Linked DNA regions of Drosophila melanogaster. The protein of the gene in region 2 interacts with the protein of the main gene of each other region in a biochemical or structural test. Each region holds a gene or a part of one and is shown on either strand. Other genes may lie near its edges.

What was found.
Region 1: the proteins of corn (region 2) and insc form a complex in vitro, tested with the Drosophila melanogaster proteins (one study listed by BioGRID).

Annotation. Positions count from the first base shown.
Region 1 is NT_033778.4:20,832,760-20,837,862, forward strand, and holds the start of insc (inscuteable), read right to left. Parts: upstream 3,270-5,103; 5' UTR 2,911-3,269; intron 1-2,910.
Region 2 is NT_037436.4:7,154,022-7,159,008, reverse strand, and holds the start of corn (cornetto), read left to right. Parts: upstream 1-1,935; 5' UTR 1,936-3,073; intron 3,074-4,987. Other genes in the region: CG8620 (uncharacterized protein), read right to left, coding at 199-762.

The DNA.
Region 1 (5,103 bases), on a different chromosome or scaffold from region 2:
CTTGATTTAGGATTTAAGATCGAAAAGCGGGCCGTGCGATTCATACTATATTTGGAAGAGAAATGTGTGGATATCTAGACTCAAATAATAATTTCAATTTTTTCACAGGAATTGCTTTGCGGCCGAACAACACCAATCTAATTAGGGAACACCTACAAAGACGACTTCCCAGCCGACGGCGCAATTCTAATTGGATTAGCCAGCGAAGCCGGTGAAGAAGGCATTTCAGGACCCTCTGCCCTTGACCACTGAATTTTTCTGTGGTTCGTTTGTCTCATTACCACCTCCCCCTGCCACGGCACGCCGTTTAAATTGATTGAAAAACAGCCCCTCAATCGATATTTATATCTACATGGGCCAGTCATGAGTAATTCTGCTCATTAGTAGGCAAAGGCAAAGTAATGTAAAAAATGTTTAGCTAACAATCCGGTTTCCACGAGGAGAAATAGCTGAGCTGAGATGCGATGAGTTAATGAGGCTCACAAAGTCACAAATTGCACTTAATTGGGTGTGTTGCATAGTGTAGAAATTGATGTATTGTACATTAAATTCGTGACTAAGAAAATAAGACAATTTTCGAAGTTCGTTGTACTTTTGCCGGCTAATTAGGCACAAAAGGCAGTCGAAATTCATATGCAAATGCCTAATAGAGTTGTCGCCAAACAAGTTTGCGACCAAATAGAATTCTAAAGTCTGCGACAATCTGCCAATTAATTTAAAAATAGAGACAAAATAATTTATGCACTTCAATCTGCGAAAACAGAAAGAAATCAACGGAACTCTTTGCCATATCGCATGAAGATATGATAATGGTTCGTTATCGAAAGCATTTCATAATAAACAAATCAAGAAAAAAAAAAACAGAAAAAAAGCGAGGGAAGCGTGTTGAATAACAAATTTAAGTTCTGGTCAGTTTAAAAGGTACGAATAATGGGAATTGCATCGCAAAATTCAACTGAGAACGGCCAGCGAAAATACAGAAATTACACAGAAAATGTTAATCATGATAATTAAGTTAATATGCGGGGTGGTTAAGTGTTAACTGAACTTGGCTCATTGGGGTCAGCCGCACAAATTGGACACAAGGTGAAATGGGGGAAAGTTGAATGGGGTGGATGGGGTAAATTTCCCCGCTCGTAACCCCGATTAATTAACCAAAAGTTACGGCCCAACCAGATCAAAATCGATTGGACAAAGGCCAGAGCATTGATTAATCCGGCATCCAGCATAATTATTTTAATAGTTTTGACATTTAAACGACAAATTAAAATGGAATAAATGCAAAATAAGAGTAATAAATTTTAATTGCTTGCCACGCCCCTTCCGCGCATCACTTGCGCCCACTGGCAGCTGTTGCATTGATTATAATGAAATTATTATTTATTTATATCGCATCTTTGCGCCATTGCATAATTAATTGTTGTCGTTCGAGTGGCAAACAATTAAATAATAAATCAGTTTTAAACAATCATTTAATTATGTAAAAAACTGAATGAACGCATTAAAACCGTGCAATTATTCAAGTCGCGGCAGCCATAATCCGTTCAATAGAATCGACCATTGTTGCAAAATGTCAAACTGACACATGAGTGAGCAAAAAACAAAGAGTTGCAAATGGTTTAGCAAATGCAATCGACGAAATGTTCCATTTCGCGACATTCCCTGACATTTAACCGACCTGTTCGATGGAAAATCAATAAACTAAGCCAAATTAAACGTTAATCCCACTCAAATGGACAATCATCATTGCTTTGGCATTTCCCATCTAACGGTAGCAACATATCGAACTGGCATTATATACCACTGCTGCTACCGTCGACACCAATTGTCAATGATATCGATCTCTTGGCCGCAACAGGTGAGTGACTTCCAGTGCCGACTGGTTTCCACGTCCAGACGTCCAGGTAATAACACCTCTCCTGATGACCGCCGTAATGGCCGGTGTTTAGCACTCTAATGGAGCCATCGAGACCGCAGAAACGCTCTTAAACTGGAACTAGATCAGTGAGATTATGCGGTGCTCCCTTGATTATTGCAATTAGGCGCGGGCAAACTGAAATTAGGGAAATCTGCGAAACACCACAATGCGGTGAGATTGAAATCGTGCCACTGATATATTCTGAGGTTTCCAGATGAGTCGAGATAACAAGTATTCGAGGTGGCGAAAGCCAACTTCTTCAAATGCATAAGCTGATTAAAATGTAAGAGACCAACCAAAACATTCAAAGAAACTTAAAAATCTTCTTTTAGAAATGTTTTTTATTTCAAGCTACATAACTGGATATTTTTGAGGACTGACTGGAATGTTATTCAATGTAACCCATTCACAACTGCCTTAGAGGTGACTCTTTCCTAGCCAGCAGACTATCACATCTGTGTGCACACATTTCTTTACCCAACCCAATTAGCGTTATCCAATGCTGGGGGCTTAGTCACCAGCACCCCCAGCTCATTCATTCCCCATCAACCTGATCAGTCACCTTAGCCCACTGCCTCCCCCAATTATACGATACATACGTATCTCAGGCAGTTATGTATCCACTCCGGTATCCCCAAGCGCACGGATGACTCATTTGTGGGATCTACGTTATAAAGAACATTCGGAGAAAAGCGAACGAAATCAGTTTGCGGTCTGACGACTTTGACTTTGTGAGGCTCCTGAGTCATAAAACGCGGCTTAGCGAGGTCCTCGAATGAGCAAAAATAAAAACCATCGGAATTTACTTCAATAAATGGGCGGAGGTACATAAATATATACATATGTCTGTAGTTTGTGATTATGTGAATTAAGGCATGTGTAATTACGAGGGGCGTATGCGGAATCGTATTGAATATTTGTGTTTATTGTTAAGCTTATTGGGGTCAAAGCATTCCGAATGTGCTTTACGGTTTATTGTGGCCAAAACTTACCGCTTTCCTGTATAAACAATGCCGAGGTAATCCCAAGTTTGGCTTATGCTTTTGTTGTTGTTTCGGCCGCCACTGATGGATAGTAAAATGTGTATTTCAAGCACGTGTCATTTGATTACTTTTGGGCACCACAAAACTTGACAGTGCGTATGTGTAGTGGGTGGCTGGGTGGTGGGGGTGCTGCACCCACAAGACAAAGCGTAAATAGTTTAACACTGCACAACGGTAAACACAAGTCGACACGACACTCAACGAACGTGGTTAACCCGAACGATACGAAAACAATGATCGAACACAAATATCTCGCGACGATCGCAGCGGTTGCGTCTGCGTGCTTCGACTGCTGGGAATCGAATGAGCGGCTACAGTTGGCGACTTCGACTCAGACTTCTAATTCCCGGGGTGGGAGAGCAGTAAGCCGGAGAGTCGGAGTCAAATTACCTGGGTGAGTAAGGTAGGCAGTGCTGGCAGCTTGACTACTTTCTAGCTAAGGATATCTAATACAATGTTTTAATTGAGTGCATACTTTGAATTATGTGTCTTAAGGTACTGAAAATTAAAGTATTATTAGCTGCTATTATCAGTATCAAGTTTTTATAGGTGATCATAAATCAAATTGAGCATATATCAGCATTTCTAGCTCCTTTAATTGTGAATCTGGCTAACTTTTAGCTACACGGGGTGTGTTATCAACATGGTGCGCTCTCACCTTTCTCTCTTTCGCTCTCCCTATTTGTTTAATAATAACGGGCATAATGAAGAGCATTGTTCGCTTTGTCGCGTTCGTTGTTGTAGTAGTTGGTGGTGGTTTATGCGCTTTTGTTGCTATTTCTTATCACTCACTCCTGTCTTCCCTCTCGCTCTTCTGCGCCAGCTGTTCCGGTAGCATTTTCAAAGGTGCGATCTCTCGCTATCTCTTTCATCTGCTACGCATGCGCAGCTGCCTGAGATTTTGGATTTTTGATTAGGTTCGCTTGTTATTGTTACTGCGATTTTGTGCGAATTTTGGGCGCAATTTTAAGGCAGTTATCTTTTCGTTTAGACTATTTCAACCCTTTGGTATTTCCGTTTCGAAATTTGTTTGATGACTTGCGCAAGTTTGAACACTTCTGGGTGATAAGATTACCCGAAACTTTTAAATGCCCTGTAAATAAAGCCCATTCATTCATGAACGCTCGTGGCCATAAAACGAAAATGTGCCACAAATACACAGTGTTACACTAAAAATTATGAGCAATCGACAGCAATTAGGCAATTGAACAATTTTGCACCAATTATTACAGCCATAAGAGTTCGATCGCCCACCCGTTCGTCGGTGAAAATAATTAAGAGGAGCCCACGATGTGTTTGCTCTTTTCACTATTGCCAATTTGAGATAGTTTCCAAATTGCGAAACTAACTGAAACAATAAGCAAAAGCACAGAGCCAAGTAAGCAAATTAAATCCACAAACAACTAATGAACAAAGTGCACTGAAACTAACAAATGAAAACAATGTTTCGCTTATGAAGGATCGAAATTCATAGAATAAAACCAATATTCAATACTGTATCTCGTTTAACATCTGTTTGCTATTGACACCTTTCAAGAAATTTTAACAACGCGTAGCAATAAAAAAAAAAAATGACAATAAATGCCATTTTCAAATGGCTATACAAATAAATCGTGTCCAAACCGAGAGTTTTAAATCATTAACACAATGTAAACTAAATAGACAATCTGATTTGACTAATAATGGTTTGGGCCGAAAACTTTGAAAAGCACAATCAATTGTCATTTATTGACATTTGTTTATTTTATTTGCTTGCTGACAGTTATGCCTAACTTTTTGTTTATATGAAATGCCATGGCATTGACCCCCAAACTTTTCAGTGTGGAGCCTCACAAAATGAGACAGTTCTGGGGAGCTAGAGGAGTTGGAGTTCAGAGTGCACACGAATGGAATTTCGCCCCATTCGTTGTCAATGTAATTTGTCAGTTCAAAGACCCCGTGCAGCACGAGGACTCCGATTCCAACTACAACTAGTTGTCGTGCCATCCAGCCAGGATGCAAAAGGACCCCGGATCCTACGTGCAAGATGTTTACATCGCGGCGTCGCCCTGACAAATGTGCCAAGTGTGCGGACGTGCGCCCAGGTCCCAGTTCCCAGTACCCAGTACCCAGTTTTCCAGCTCCCAGTTACCAGATCCCAGC
Region 2 (4,987 bases):
TAACTTATTATCTTGAATACCTGAACAGTATGTATTATTTGCACCCAAAATAAAGATAAGCCCACCCTCCATTAAAAAGAATTCATTTGAATATTTTTTTCATATTTTATATATTTTATTATTTTTTTTTTTTTGGTTTTTTTATGCGCACTTAATATATAAAATGAATATTGAATAATACTGAATGAAGCCAGATACTCACACTGAAATCCGAACGGGCAGAGCCAGGGGTAGTGCTCGAGATCGTCGGGAATCGGTGTAGGACCTGGAACGAGAACGCCCATGAGAACGACCACGCGAGTGACCACGGGAGCGACCGCGAGACCGGGAACGATCCCGCTTGCGGTCATCTCGCGTGTGTCTTCTCCGCGGCATGTGCCCCTCCTTCTCCGCCAGGATCAGCTCGCAGTCACTGTGGTCGGAACTGGAACTGGAAGATGAGCTAGTGTGATGACTATGACTATGATGTTTGCGTCCTCTGTGTCGTCGTTTACCTCCATCGGAGCTGCGGTGCTTGGACTTGGTCTCCTTGATGGAGAGTTGAGATTCCTGCTGCTGCTGCTTCTGGATCTGTTTCATCACATCGTTCAGCATTTTCTGGGCCATGTTGGCCTTTCGAATGAGACGCTCCATCGACGGCAAGGCCATGTCCTCGACTTCCACGGGCGTGGCATTTGGCAATTGGCCGCGGCATCCTTGACATGCATCCGGCCCTGCATTTGCCGCAGTTTGCTCACGTGCCACGTTATCGGATTGCGACATTTTTGCACTAGTTTACAACTGACCCGATAAGAAATTCACTCAACACTTTAATTACTGATTAACTACTGTTTCTCTGAACTGGATATAACTGCTGCGGAATCTGTTGCTTATGTTTCGACTGCTTCACTTGAACACTTGAATTTGACTGGCTTCTGCGGCATTCGGTCGATGAGCTTTTATAGGCAACTTTGGCGCCAAGCTAATCGCGACTTTCGGACTGTAAACATTTGCCTTTCTTTATCAGTCACATACTCATACAAACCACACGATAAATGTGACGTCATCTGAGCTATTTTTAACCAAATCGCATTCATGGGTTTTTGGGAAATTACTTCCATTGATCACGTGTTTTTAATGTTACATAATTTCATTGCCGAACGTAACCTCAAACATATTTCATATTTTTGCGAAATTCTTCTTACTTTTGTATTTCTGCATATTATATGCATTATAAATATTCTGCGTATTTTTATAAGCATACCTTTTATTATTTTTTACGATTTTGTGAAATATGACATTATTTTGATATAATTTTAATTTTGAATTTCGTCCAAGTGTGTAATTTTAAAACAATTATTTTATCGTTTTAAATCATCGAAAATTTTAAGAATATAAAGTATTAAGAAATTTACACAATTTTTTGAAAATGTTTTGGGATCTTAATAATTGCATAAATCAGGTTTAGCACATTATTTTAGAAATACTAAACGGTTAAATATTTTACAGAACTGCTATTTAATTTTAAGGTATAAGACTACGTATAAGACATTACCGCTTGAGACTAGTATTTTTATTGTGGTATTTTCATGATTGCTTTTGAATTGTGCCCGCCAAAATATGCAGTCTTAACCACAAGCGGTTAAAATCATTCCTTACGTTTACTTATATTTAAAAATCGACAAAAGGTATAATAATTCAAAACTATTAAAAAATTTTAAATAAAACTAAACGAGTCTAAGTTTTCTTAATCAAAATAGCTGTTAATATGGATAAGATATATTTGGCGCATCCAATAGATACATTTAACCGCTGAAGAGAATTAACAGTGTGATACGCCAGACTGTTAACAGACTGTTAAAACGCGATTTCCCGGCTTTGGTATTTTTACATTACCATCATTTGGTTTCTCTGATATTTTAAAAATCTATATAAGCAGCTCGCAACGCATTCTCTCTGTAATTTTTCGGGAGAGCGCAGCAGCGCGCGCTGTTTTTTCGGTTACCATTAAAAAATATTATTAAAGAAACATCGTTATAACTTTAATGCCAACGGAGTTGCGGCAATTGAAACTGATTTTTTAAGCAAACGAACAATAAATTCGACGTGGAGTGTGCTTCTGCTCGCCTACATGAAGTAATAGCGATGTATATTATGATTTAGTAAATATAAATCGATTTAATTAATATTTAAACTTGTTGTTTTCCGCGAGTGGGCGCGTTTTGTTACCAAGCCGCTATACGATTTTCGTTTTTCCGACTTTCCTGCGCGCCGAACGGGTTTTTCAACGAAGCCTTGCTGTCTTTTTCCTCGTAAGCAGCAAAAACAAGGCTGAAAAACTAAATTAAAGCGACTCGCTTCAGCTGCAGATTAATCGATGTGCGGCTATAGACTTTTAATTCGCAGATTCATCATCGATTTTTCCTTTGGGCTCAGCTGCAGTGCGCTAGTGTACGTGTATGTGCGTGTGTGTGAGTTGGTCCTGACAATACAAATAAGCCGTTGTGTTAGGTAAACGGAACAACAAAAGGAAGTGAACCAGAGAGAGAAAGAGAGAGAGGAAACGGCAGGACGATACCGAGTCCTTGAGCGATCATTCATGCTCTTCTTCTTCTCCAGCTGCAGCTGTCACGAAATTTCGCGCGTGCACGTGTATGTGTGTGTGTGGGAGACAGGGAGAACGCCGAAGTTAGTAATTTCTCTCCACTTCTCAGTGTTTGTGCATTCAATTTGCACAAAATTGAAGCGACGCGCTAAATTCGCAAATTTCCGTCCGCGAATTGCCATCCATTATTTTGCACTCCCCCCCAAGAGAGCGAGAGCAATAATAGAATTATCAGGCAAAGCAAAAAAAAAAATCAAAACTCAAGCGAAAAGAGAATGCCCTGGGAGGCCGTAATACCAATACCGCGACCCTCTGACATTTCCATCGTCGCCCACCAAAGGAACAACAACTGAGCGACAAAGACAGCAACAATCCGACAAACAAACAAACAAAACAGCAAACGAGCGAATCAACGAACGAAACTCCAGCAGCAGCCTCAACCTCCTCAACCGCTGGCACAGTTTTCCTCCTTCAACTCCAGCTCCGTGGGTGAGTAGCTACAGTGGAACGCCACTAAGTAGAACATTCTGCGAGTTCTAAGTTAAATTGCAGAGAATATCGCTTTGAGCACAAACTGATTAGAAATTGCCTTCACTTGGTCTTAGAAAGTTTACTAATACCAACTGATACATCGTTTTTTTGTTTGTTAATGTCAGTTTTAAATTGAAATCGATTAACAAATCTTAATGTCCTTTTTATATTTTTTTATAATGGATGTGGGATATGGGGGAAAGGCAAATGGCTCTTACGTGTAAAATTTTATAGTTTTTCCATAGCATTTAAGTACAATTAATTTTCTTTACGAAGAAAATGAAAGTTTTGCTTATGTAACAAGCCAAATTTAAGCAAATATTTTGTTTTTTGTATCAGGATAAAAGTTAAGCTTACCCAATCTCCACTGTAACTCATTGGCGGGTAGAAAGTGGTTATCGAATATGAGCTGCGTCTTATGTTGAAGCCACATCGTCGTGTGGGCGAGAGGGTGGTTGTGGTGGGTCAGAGGTGTGTTGGCGTCGTGCGGCTTTGGTTTTTAGCTGAAATTAAAAAGGTCAGGACCGCCGGACTGAGGGGCTTCCGGATTTTGTATCCTAGCCACGTAGTCCGCTTCATTATGCAGCGTTAACTTTGTATGTAAAAGCGTATATACGTATGTACATATGTACATACATATATGGATGTGGCAAGCGGTGAATATAATTTCAGTTGCATGACTTCGGCGATAATCGATTTTGAAGCGACGAAGCAATCAGGAAGAGTGCAATTTAATGTCAGTCCGTCACTCAGTCAGTCAAACAGTCACAACTTGACACACTGCAAAAAGTTATGCTGCAAAATGGAGGTCAGCATGACGTTTTTGCATTAAAGATACAAAGGGAAATGTAGCAAAAACCAAACTTTTTGCTTAAAAAGTTTGGTAATACTTAATGTTTGCATGGATTTAGGCAAGCAATTGCGTTTTAAGTTTACTTAGAAAAGTATATACATTTGTCAAGTAAATAGTATCAATGTGCTCAATCGATTCCCATTTCCTTGAATTAATAATTGGTATATGCTACCATTTTTCCGGCCTGCTTAAATGGCGTTTACCATATTCATAAGCGCCCCGGTTGATGGAGCAGCGGACATGTTAGCCGTTACTCCATAATGCGACAACTTGGCGACTTGAAGTGGGGGATGTCGTAATGGAGAGTGAGCTGAGGAAATCGCTAATTAAGCATCAATTAGTGCAGTTTCCGGTGCAAGAGCCGCTAGAAGCAAGCAAGCCACCGTTCTTGTACTTTCCACTCGTCGAACAAATCGTGTGACACATTTCGCTTTCCCACACACCAATTGGCGATAGGAGTTATCAGCACTTTTCAGCTTTAGCACTTCTTACCACTTTGGCTGGCCTGCCCCCTATCCCAAAAGATAATAACACATTGCATTTTCAATGTGTTTCCCCTGATATACATATACAAATGTGCCCGATTAGCGGGTATCTCAATAACAATGGCCGTAATTTATGATAAACAAGTTTTTGAAGTGTGCGAAATTTAGCAGCTCACTGATTTGAGCCTGTTTTTGGCGACACACCACACTCCGCTTGGTACCCCTTGTTCAAATGTTGCATTGTTTATAATCAGTAACGGACTCATAAGCGAACACATGTCTGGGTTGGTTTTCAAGGTCAGTTGAATGGCCAGATTCGCCTCGTTTGTGATTTGGCAACCCCATGGAAACACGATAAACGAGGGCAAACAGAGCTGAATTCAAGCTGCAGCCTCATCATCTCGTCTTTCTCCAGACAATGGCCATTCGGCTATACCATTTCAGAGGTTTATGCCTTGAGAGAACGCTTCTGGAGACGAAAACCCGGCCTGGACTGGAACCTTGCCAAGACACACTCGAGACGCGCGTTGACAA